3 linked regions of the Callithrix jacchus genome follow. The protein of the gene in region 2 binds, or shares a complex with, the protein of the main gene of each other region. Links are inferred from orthologs where the notes say so. Each region holds a gene or a part of one and is shown on either strand. Other genes may lie near its edges.

Region 1 (3,646 bases), on a different chromosome or scaffold from region 2:
CAGAAAGCTGTGGCCCGGCCGCAGCAGGGAGCCCTGCAGGAAAGAGGCGCCCAGCATGGCAGGGGCAGCGGGGAGCAGATGGTGAGGGGATGAATCTCAGGGTGCGTAGAACCCCGGCCTGGGGGCGATGGGCAGGGTCTGGGACGTTTGTGGAGGTCAGGACTTGAAGAGTCATCCCGTCCCTGACCCAAAAGTCCACAGGGCCGAGAGGAGGCTCCCGCTGACGCCAACACCCCTACCCACATTCGGGGGAGCAGCTGACCCTCCCACAGCTAAGTGCCCCCCCTCCCACCACCGCGGCTGCACTGGGAGGCCAGAGGACCAGGGAAGGGAGGCTCCAGGGGGTGGCCCCTGGCAGCCTAAAGCCCCACAAAGAGCAGAGGGTCTTCAAACTGTGCCTGACGGCCACGGTGGAAAGACAGGGGCAGGATGGTGCCCAGCTTGCAGACCTGGAGGTGGGGGAGTGGACCGAGCCTGCTGGGGCCTGCAGTGAGTTCCTGACTTCAAAGCCGCCTACCCCAGGTGAAGGGGTCTGGGGAGGGTAATGGGGGGGGAGGCAGCGGAGCAGGAGCTTCGAGTAGGGGTGGGGCTGAGAAGGGGCAGGGCCTGGGAGGCGGGACTTTGAGAATGGGCAGGAAGGAGGAGACAGGGCTCCAGGGCGGGGCAGGGCTTCAGGAGCTGCGGGCTAGGAAGCGGGGCTTTGAGAAGAGGCAGGGCCAGGAGGTGGGGCTCCAGGAAGGGGCGGGGCTGCGGTGTTGAGAAGCAAGGCTTGGGAGGTGGGGCCTCTGAGGGGCGGGGCCGGGGAGGTGGAACACGGACATGGGCGGGGCCAGGGAGGCGGGGCCCTAGTGAGGGGCGGGGCCTTGGAGGGCAGGCGCACCTGGTTGGGCAGGCTGGCCAGCAGGTAGAGCACGAAGTCGCCCACCCACTGCAAGAGCTGCTGCAGCGCCTGCAGCGTGTTCATGTCCAGGACAAACTCCTCCGTCTTGAGGTTGATCATGACCTTGTCAATGTCTGCAAGGAGATGCGGTTCAGGTCAGGCCGGGCCTCCGGGACACACGGGGTGACCTAAATGCTCCCCACAGTCCTGCACTGAGCACCCACCCAGTGCCGGGCAAGCGGGGGCCCACACTGGGAATGAGACGCGGGTGATGGCATGGCCTGATGGAGATGAACCGGGAGCTCACTGCCCGCCCACCCCGGGGGCCGCTGTGCTCAGCACCAACCAGCTTCTCTCGGCCTGCAGACCTTGGGTGGGCAGGTCCCCATGCCAGGGATGCACTGCTCTGACCCGGCCCACTGGTGCACATCTGGCCCCTGCTCGGGGTGGGCTCTGTGAACGCAGGACATGTCCACACTGTGCAGCTGTAGCCACCCCCACCCCACACCTGGCGATGGTTACACACCCAGCAGGTACCTCTGGGATGGCGACTAGGGTGGCCCCACAGAAACTACCACGAATGCGCACACCGCTCCCAGCTACTGGGAGTGCCATGTGCCTATAGAGAACTGGATACTCTAATTTTACAGTAAATGATAACCCCAATTTTGAAAGAAACAGCCTGTCAGATGCAGTGGCTCACGCCTGCAATCCCAGCACTTTGGGAGGCTGAGGTGAGTGGGATGCCACGTGCTGGGCGGGCCTGGGCAAGCTGCTTAGCCTCTCTGGGCCTCAGTCCCCTTATGGCAAATGGGGAGGAGCGGACCTGCCCCACAGGACTAGGTGTCAGGTCCCAGCGTAGGAGCAGCAGCCTGGCCCCCAGGAGAGAGGTGGAAGGATCACGTCAGCTCAGTAGGTCAAGACCAGCCTGGACAACACAGTGAGACCCTAAATAGTTAAACCAAAAAATTAAAAACCGAGTATGGTGGCGCACGCCTGTAATCCCAGCTACTCCAGAGGCTGGGGAGAGAAGACAGCATGGAAGGCAGAGGCACCACACTGCAGCCTGGGTGACAGAGTGAGACCCTGTCTCTAAAAGGTCGGGCACGGTGGCTCACGCCTGTAATCCCAGCACTTTAGGAGGCCAAGGCATGGGGATCATTTGAGGTCAGGAGTTCGAGACCAGCCTGGCCAACATGGTGAAACCCTGTCTCTACTAGAAATACAAAAACTAGCTGGGCGTGGTGACACACGCCTGTGATCCCAGCTACTCGGGAGGCTGAAGCAGGAGAATCCCTTGAACCCAGGAGGTGGAGGATGAAGTGTGCAGAGATCCCGCCACGGCCCTCCAGCCTGGGCGACAGAGCGAGACTCCATCTCAAAAGATTAAATAATACAGTAAGTAAAGGGTGAAAGGAGCCCGAGGCTGGGGCGCGGGACGGGACCCACCGACGTCGGTGATCTTGGCACAGATCTCGGTCAGCCGGTCTCCGGGGCTCTTGTCGGGCGTGTTGAGGAAGTGGGGGCGCAGCAGTGACTTCAGGGTGGAGCTGATGGCGATGAGGAAGAGCTTGGTGTGGTAGTCGCACACGCGGGTCACCGTGCAGGGGGACAGCTTGCAGAGCGAGGCCTTCATGGCCAGGATCCGGGTGGAGAGGACCTGGAAGGCGGATGGTGTGAGCAGGAAGCCGGTGTCACCCCGAGGGGCTGGGGCAGAGGTGCCCGCCAAGGCTCCAGCTGGGGAGAAGGGCAGTCAGGCTCTGGCACCAGGTGCTGGGTGAGCTGGGCAAGCTGCTTAGCCTCTGCACCTCAGCAACCTCACAGCAAAAGAGGCCTAATGTGTTAAGAGGAACCTTCCCAGGTAAGGAGGGAAAGCAAGTGCTTCTCTCAGGCTCAACTCTACTGGACGGGCCTCTGGAAACACCCCACCCCACACACAGCCTCACCTGCCGCAGGCTACTTGCCCCTTCTGCCCTCCACCTGCCACGGAGCCCCTGCCTGCCATGGGGACCCCCCCCACCAGCTACCACATCTGCCACAGGGACCTCCATGACTGCTGCAGGGACTTCCCCCACCCTCCACGGGACCCCTCTCCCTGCCGCTGGCCTCTCACTGACCACAGAGCCCCTGGCTATCCCAAGGGCAACACACCTGCCTGGGACCCCACCTGCCACAGGGAAAGCCCCACCTGCCTGGGACCCCACCTGCCACAGGGACAGCCCCACCTGCCTGGGGACCCCACCTACTGCAGGGACAACCCCACCTGCCACAGGGACAGCCCCACCTGCCTGGGGACCCCACCTGCCACAGGGACAGCCCCACCTGCCTGGGGACCCCACCTGCCACAGGGACAGCCCCACCTGCCTGGGGACCCCACCTACTGCAGGGACAACCCCACCTGCCACAGGGACAGCCCCACCTGCCTGGGGACCCCACCTGCCACAGGGACAGCCCCACCTGCCTGGGGACCCCACCTGCCACAGGGACAGCCCCACCTGCCTGGGGACCCCACCTGCCACAGGGACAGCCCCACCTGCCTGGGGACCCCACCTGCCACAGGGACAGCCCCACCTGCCTGGGGACCCCACCTGCCACAGGGACAGCCCCACCTGCCTGGGGACCCCACCTGCCACAGGGACAGCCCCACCTGCCTGGGACCCCACCTGCCACAGGGACAGCCCCACCTGCCACAGGGACAGCCCCACCTGCCTGGGACCCCACCTGCCACAGGGACAGCCCCACCTGCCACAGGGACAGCCCCACCTG
Region 2 (4,257 bases):
GAACATTGGTTAGTAATCAGCCATCTACTCTCATTACACTTGCAGCGGCAGAATTGCTACCATGGTGACAAATATTGCTGTTAAAAACATTGTCTTTTATCTGATAGGGGTATTGACTTGATGCCCCAGTTGACATCTCCCTCTGAGGAAGAGACCTGTTGCTTTGAAATACATATTTATGCATCTTTCTCTTGATGAAGTATCAAGATAGAAAAGGAATTGCAGCAAAGTACGTGGCAGAGCATGCTGTGGTGGGCAAGTCCCCGCCTCTACTTTACTTAAGTTGCATTTGTGTACATTGGAGGTCTGCTCAGCTAACACCCTGCATGGTGGATGAACTATGTTCATGCTGTACAGGATGGAGAGAGTGCACCCTCCCCTTCAGACGGGGGAGGGTGCATAAAACAAGACTAGAAGGAAAACAAAAGATAAAGCCATGGTCTACACAATTATGAGATTAAGCCATTTGTAGCTAGGATAATTCAGACTCTGGCATAGCTGTAAGTCTGGAACTCCAGACCAAAGGCTTTGACAGGAGTTCCGCTTTATCTCTCTCCTCTACCCCACCTGCCAACCTGTCACACTCCTGTGTGGCTTTCCCAAAGGCCCTCTCAGACTTCTGAGTGTGTGCCTCTCTCTCTCCATCTAACTGTATCCACTGTTTCAAGAGTCGACTCCCAGAACATCTTAATCTCAGGTTCTATGGTCTTTATTGAAAGCCACAAGGTGAGATTTTCCAGCCGCCCACCAGAGCAACTGAGAAGGGATTCCCCTGATACTGACAGGCCACTACTCCTCCCAGAATACCTTGCTTCTCACCTCCTCCATCTGCACTACACATATTTGGTCTTCAGAGAAAGTCCCTAAGTTTTGCCAGAAACTCAACTTCTGTCCTCCAAGGTACTGCTGCAGAGAATGAGCAAAGACTCAAAAGGCTGAGCAGTTGCTCCCCTCCTGGACTTACATGAACACACATGGCTCCCAGAATCATTTTTCTCAAATTGAATTTTTATTATCTGATGTTAATACTGTAATGTTTTTCATGGATTCATTTTACAGGTTTTTTTTTTTTTAATGGAAAGACAATTTTTTTTACAATAAAACTTTTTAAAATTTACAATCCCGTTTCTAGGGATTAACTTCCACATGAACACATAATTTACATCATGTTAGTACACAGCATTTTGGACTATTTTATTTCTTAATACATTTAAACATTTTCCATGTTTCTATATTCTGAATATTTTTATGTTACTTAGAATTTTTGTTTCGTACCTATTGAAAGATGTCTTTCAGAGTTAGATTTTTTTTGTCATAAATCTCTCTTGTGTGGGTGTAAAAAGGAAAACATTGGTGAAATAAATTGGATAGGGCGTTTCTAAGGCAGTGACATACAATTGACACTTTGCTGGAAGTGATTTAAAAACAATCCTGATTTCAGAGATGTTAAAATAAAGACACAATAACAAACCTCCATGAATACACCCTCTTGTTTAAGAAATGGAATAATCATGATTCTGTTGAAGCTGTTTGTGTGTGCCTCCCAGATCAGACATCTCTCCCTTTACCCTTTCTCTTCTTTCCTTTTTTTATCCATATCCTGAATTTTGTGATTATCATTTCCTTGTTTTTCTCTATACTTTAAGCAAATATATATCCCATAGTTGAATCTTATTTTTGAACTGTTCTACAAATTGAACTATATCATATATATTTTTGTGACTTGCTTTTAGTATCCCATATTATGTGAGATTTATCCATGCTAGCTGGGCACAGTAGCTCATGCCTGTAATCCCAGCACTTTGGGAGGCCAAGGAGGGTGGACTGCTTGAGGTCAGGAATTTGAGACCAGCCTGGTCAACATGGCAAAACCCTGTCTCTACTAAAAATACACAAAATTAGTTGGGCATGGTGGCACATGCCTGTAATCCCAGCTACTTGGAAGCTGAGGCACTAGAATTGCTGGACCCTGGGTGGCCAAGATTACTGTGAATCAAGATCACCTCACTGCACTTCAGCCTGGGTGACAAACTGAGACTCTATCTCAAAAAAAAAAAACAAAAAAAATGTATCCTTTCTAATAGCCGCTATTCATTTACACTGTTGTAGATTATGCACTGTAGTTTATTTCATAGCTTATTAATTCTCCTGTTTGATGAACACTTGAGGATTTCCAGGGTTTTGCTATTACAATTTGTTTTACTATAAACATTCTCCTAGTTGTCTACTGGCAAGCATATGTGAGAATTTCTCCACTGTCTACACCTAGGAGGAAGACTTGTTAAGACTAGATCAAGAGTCAGCACATTTTCTGTGAAGGCCCAGATAATATTTTAGACTCTGCAGGCCATATGGTCTCCATTGCAACTACTCATATCTGTCATTTTAGCGTGAAAGCAGCCATAGACAATATGCAAAGGAATGGCTGTGGCTATGTTCCAGTAAAATTTTATTTACAAATCCAAGCAGCTGGCAAGATTTGGACCTCAGAATATGGTTTGCCAATTCCTGATCTAGATGCATAGATTTCCTATTCTAATTGCCTACAAATGCTGCTGCACTGCTCCTTCCTCCCCTGAATACCCTCTGAGGGGATGTGAATCCTGTCTCTGCCTAGTCTATGGACTGGACTGAATGTCCATGTTCAGGAGCATTCAGGGAAGAGAATGGGCATGGGGACGTGGTGGTGGTGCATCCAGCTCTTAATCTGTGACTTTGACAGTCTAGGGGAAGCAAAGGCAGAAAGGGGTTGAGGCAAAGCAAAACACTCACATTGGCTCTGCTGGGCCTGGGTGGGTGGTAGGGCTCTACCTGCCTGGAGGCTGGGGTCTCAGGCTGTAATGTGGTCACCATCACAGAAGCCACTGTGAAGTCACTGCCAGGCTATGGGGCAGAAAAAATTCAAACAGGAGATTTTATTTATTTAGGGGTTGTATGATTTCCTTTATTATTTAAACTGCAGTAAAGAAAGCTGGGATGGGCTCTCTAGGGATACTTCCCAGATCCCTGGGAGTTGTAGCCCTGGCTCCTATTTAAATGGATTTGGTTTCAAAGATGGTCATCTCCATCATCTTGGATGTCACAGTGCCACTGATCACCTCCAGCTCCTGGGCTTTCTCCACTTTGGCCTCTATGTTTTGCTTCTCCGCCATCTTAGCCACGATGTCTACCTCTCTGTCGTGTGATGTGACCCTTGTTTTTGAACCAGCAGTAGCCCTGAGGCTCCTTAAAAAAGACATGATTTTACTGGGTTTCTTACTTAAAGCTCCTGTACTAGATGTGGATCGGTTCTTCCCCAGTTTGTGAGTTGTTCTCGACTCCTTTTTGGTGGAACTGTGGCTGGAGCTCTTGCGAGAGGAGCCACGTCCCTTGCCCCTTACCTTGCTGCGCCCTTGTTCTTTTTTGTCATCTCTCGTGTTTTTATGGCCGGATATAGACCGGTGGGAGGATGCTTTCTGGGTCTCGTCTCCTGCTGTCCTGCGGTGACTTTCACCTGCCTTGCGGTGATGGGAACTTTTCCTACTGGGACGTTTGTCCTTCTTTTTTCTTCTTTCCTTTTTTTCATTCCAGGCTTCAGCACTGGGCTGGGAAAGCTTCTGGCTTCCATTCCGTTCACTCATGTAGCCTTCGCTTTGCAAGGTGGACACGAGGGGTCCCAATGCTGGTCCTTGAGTTCTTTCTGCCACACACTTGCCTGTCGTCATACTGCCTGCAAATGCCATACTCAAGCTGCTGTCTTGGGAGAGATGGGCGGCCCCCGCCATCGTGGTGGAAGAAGTACCTGCCAAGGAGGTGCTTGCAACACCCACCAAGGCCAAGTTCATACTATCTGAGGATATGTTGGCAGCACCTGCCATGGACTTGCTGGATTCATTTTCTCCCGGATTTTTGATGGCTGCTCCCGCCAGCGCTGTGGTCACCTGGCCTGGGCCTGCAGGTTTGCTTGCTGCTATGCTCACAGCGCCTGTTGCAGGACTCATTGCTGTGCCTGCTATTGCCACACCTGCTCTGGGGCCTGTTGTTCCTGCCATGCCACCTGCTGTCCTTGCTGCTGCTCCTTCAGCAGCCATTCCATGGGAGGCATGTTGGATTCCTTCTCCCCCAGCATAAGCAGAAGAGGTGACTGCAGATACATCACAAGACTTGTGAAGCCCAGTCTCACTCTGATCCCCTTTTCTGTGGAGCTCTGCAGCCTGTACCAAGGGGAGGAGAAACAGGTGAGATAGAGATGACTGAAAGAGAGTTCAGAACTGTGTG
Region 3 (3,646 bases), on a different chromosome or scaffold from region 2:
TGCTTTGAACCCAGCTTCCCGCTTCCCGCTTCCCACTTCCCATCTTGTGTTAGAGAGTCTCTGAATAATCAAAGAAATTATAAACGATTCACAGAGAAGCAGCACAGATGCCTTGGAGTTAGAGATCAGGTAAATATCTGTCTAAATTGAGAAGGACTGACGGCCAGGTGTGGTGGCTCACAACTATAATCCCAGCACTTTAGGGGGCTGAGGTGGGAGGATCACTTGAGCCCAAGAGTTTGAGACCAGCATGGGCAACATAGTAAGTCCTCATTTCTACTAAAAAAAACTTTTTTTTTTTTGACACGGAGTCTCACTCTTGTCGCCCAGGCTGGAGTGCAGTGGCACGATCTCAGCTCACCGCAACCTCCACCTCCCAGGTTCAAGTGATTCTCCTGCCTCAGCCTCCCATGTAGCTGGGACTACAGGCACGTGCCACCACGCCCAGCCAATTTTTTTTTGTATTTTTAGTAGAGAGCGGGTTCTTCCATGTTGGTCAGGTTGGTCTCCAACTCTTGACCTCAGTTGATCCACCAGCCTCAGCTTAAGTGCTGGGATTACAGGCGTGAGCCACCACACCCAGCCTGAAAAAAAATTTTTTTAATTAGGTGGGTGTAGTCCCAGCTGCTTAGGAGGCTGAGGTGGGAGGATCACTTGACCCCTGGAAATCAAGGCTGGAGTGTGCCAAGACTGCACCACTGCATTCCAGCCTGGGTGAAAGAGCAAGACTCTGTCTCAAACAAAATAAAGGACTGGAAAATCTTCAGAGCCCTTTACCAAACAGCCCCCTTAGCATATCCTGCTCCTATTTTCACCAAGGTCTTACCTCCACAGAGATGCCCCGGGCACTGGGCCCCATTGTGACCGTGCCCACCTTCACCAGGAAGTCACAGTACTGGTACCGGGTGCCCCGGGTCTCAATCTTGCTGGCCTTAGCACTCTGGAAAAAGCCCTTCAGCTTCACCATAAGCACATCAAAGTTGGTGTCAGCAATAAGACAAGGGCCATTCTCAAAGAGGGCAAAACAGCTCAATGGGTACTCTGAGTTGTGCATCACATACATCAGCTTCCCGGTCTGACCTGCAAGGGACAGAGATCCTGCTCATCATCAAGACTTTCACTGGCAAACCCCAGAGTAAAGCAAATGAATCCCCCCGGAATGAGGCCAGATAGCAATCTGGCACTACCTAGGCAGTCGTGGTGGGGCATGAGCGGAATCCTCTCACTGCAGCCTTTTCTAGAAAGGTAAGGACAGAAATAGCAGGAGAGGCAGCATGTGGTAAAATCCACCGTGCTCTACCGAAAACAGTGAGGGGCACACAGGGACCTTTAATAGTTTTGATGATGGTTTAATTCTTTTTTTTTTTTTTTTTTTTTTTTTTTGTTGAGACGGAGTTTTGCTCTTGTTACCCAGGCTGGAGTGCAATGGCGCGATCTTGGCTCACCGCAACCTCCACCTTTTGTGTTCAGGCAATTCTCCTGCCTCAGCCTCCCGAGTAGCTGGGATTACAGGTACGCGCCACCATGCCCAGCTAATTTTTGTATTTTTAGTAGAGACAGAGTTTCACCATGTTGACCAGGATGGTCTCGATCTCTTGACCTCGTGATCCACCCACCTTGGCCTCCCAAAGTGCTGGGATTACAGGCTTGAGCCACCGCACCTGGCGGTGGTTTAATTCTTGAGTGGTGGGCTCACAGATGGTCTATATGTAAAGTCTAATTCCAAGTCTACAAAGACTTTCCATATACTCTTTTGTATATTATCATACATTCAATAAGTAAAATGAAAGTAACAGCATTTGGGCAAGACAAAGGAAGCAACTGCTCCCTTCTTCTGTGCACTCCTCCTCACCTTGGGTTCCTCCCTCTTTGAGAGCTAGTAAATGGTCCTATGGAAGCAGTAAGGGGAAGGTAGACGGGAGCCAAGCTGTGATAGGTCTTGTCTACCATGATTTGAACTGGGATATGAAGAGAAGGTAGGATTCAGCCACAGGAAGGAAAGAAGACATTCTAGGCAGGGGGCAAGACAGTGGGAATGAAAAGGGTGTGGGGGTGGGGGAACAGAGGGCATGTGACTTCCCTATATAAGCTGCTGTTCATGAACACAGCAGGCTCTACACAGATCCTCCAGGCCACATCCCATCTCCTGACTGCTTGCTGACAGTTCCCACCTGTCACCTCCTTCTAAATCCAGTTCAAAACTTCTTGACTCTGAAGAAAAAAATCCATCCAAAGCTGATCTCATCATTCTGTTCTCATGTCTACTCACTGTAATTACATATTTTATTCATACCATATGAGTCTGCAAGTGTTACTGTCTTAGAAATATCTTAAAAGTCAACTAAGGGGAAGGGTTGTGTGTGTTTAATGAAAAAGGCACTTCTAGTATTAAAGACAATAACATTTTTCTTTTCTTCTTTTTTTTTCTTTGAGACAGTCTCACTCTGTCGTCAGGCTGGAGTGCAGTGGTGCAATATTGGCTCATTGTAACCTCCGTCCTCTAATCTTCTTCGGCACCTCTCAATAACCAAAGCCAACTAGTAGAGGGCCTGGAAAATACAGCTTGCAGGGGAAGTGAAAGAAATGGATCTAAGGGAAACAGGCACATGAGAGGCGTGGAAACAGTCACAGATAGGTTATAGGAGTTACCTACAGGTACACAATTAGTATGTCGCAAAGCCGTGACTCAGGACTCTGGCTCCCCAATCATAACCACTATGCTATGGAACTGTTCAAGATCAAGTTACTGCAGAGCCAAGACTAAGAGAAACAACTTCCCTAACTCATATCCAAAGAGTCTCTCTCATGGCCTGAGCCCAGGAGTTAGAGCTTGCAGTAAGCTGGGATCATGCCACTGTATAGCCAGGCAACGAAGTGAGTCTTTCACTCTAAAAAGAAAAAAAAAAAATCCTCTCTCCCTCCCAACCACCATCCCCCATCATCCACAGACCATCCCACCACCCAATACACTAAAGAGAACAATTAATTTATGCTATGTTAGTAAGGAGGCCAAGGCCAATGGTTAGGTATAGGTAAACAGAAACTTCTAGAAACTCTTAAAGCTCTAAAACAATAAATAAAGACTTCTGGGCCCGAGACCTGTCTTTCTCAAACTTCAGAGTGCATGAGGATTGTCTGGATGTTTGTTAAATGTGGATTATGTGGCCTAAGCAGCAGTCAATCAGTAAACAGGGCCAGGAATCTGCAACTCTTAACATGTATTCCAGGTGATTTTGATGTGGTTAGTCAGTGATTAACCCTCTGAGAAACATTGCTTTTAGAGTTCAAATTGCACAAAACAGCACTCAAAGAGCACAAGGGCCAGGCATGGTGGCTCATGCCTCTCATCTCAGCACTTTGGGAGGCCGACGTGGGCACATCCCTTGAGCTCAGGAGTTTGAGACCAGCTACTTAAGAAACTGAGACAGTAGGATGGCTTATGGCTAGGATTTTGAGACTGTCATCTCAGCACGTTGGAAGGCCGATGCTGGGAGATCCCATGAGCTAAGGAGTTTGAGACCAGCTACTTGAGAAGCTAAGGCAGGAAGATGCCTTATGGCTAGGAGTTTGAGACCAACTTGGGCAGCATAGTAAGACACTCCCATGACCCCACCCAAAAGTTAAAAAACATCAGCCAGGCATGGTG

What was found.
Region 1: MED7 (region 2) and MED16 share a complex: the UniProt entries of both Homo sapiens proteins name them as parts of the mediator complex. The link is inferred for Callithrix jacchus from reciprocal best matches to the Homo sapiens genes MED7 and MED16.
Region 3: MED7 (region 2) and MED20 share a complex: the UniProt entries of both Homo sapiens proteins name them as parts of the mediator complex. The link is inferred for Callithrix jacchus from reciprocal best matches to the Homo sapiens genes MED7 and MED20.

The regions. Positions count from the first base shown.
Region 1 is NC_133523.1:820,129-823,774, forward strand, and holds part of MED16 (mediator of RNA polymerase II transcription subunit 16), read right to left. Parts: intron 2,541-3,646; coding exon 2,330-2,540; intron 1,015-2,329; coding exon 881-1,014; intron 34-880; coding exon 1-33. UniProt on the Homo sapiens protein: Component of the Mediator complex, a coactivator involved in the regulated transcription of nearly all RNA polymerase II-dependent genes.
Region 2 is NC_133503.1:19,918,004-19,922,260, forward strand, and holds the start of MED7 (mediator of RNA polymerase II transcription subunit 7), read right to left. Parts: upstream 2,818-4,257; 5' UTR 2,773-2,817; intron 1-2,772. Other genes in the region: GARIN3 (Golgi-associated RAB2 interactor protein 3), read right to left, coding at 3,033-4,193. UniProt on the Homo sapiens protein: Component of the Mediator complex, a coactivator involved in the regulated transcription of nearly all RNA polymerase II-dependent genes.
Region 3 is NC_133505.1:50,414,801-50,418,446, forward strand, and holds part of MED20 (mediator of RNA polymerase II transcription subunit 20), read right to left. Parts: intron 1,081-3,646; coding exon 827-1,080; intron 1-826. UniProt on the Homo sapiens protein: Component of the Mediator complex, a coactivator involved in the regulated transcription of nearly all RNA polymerase II-dependent genes.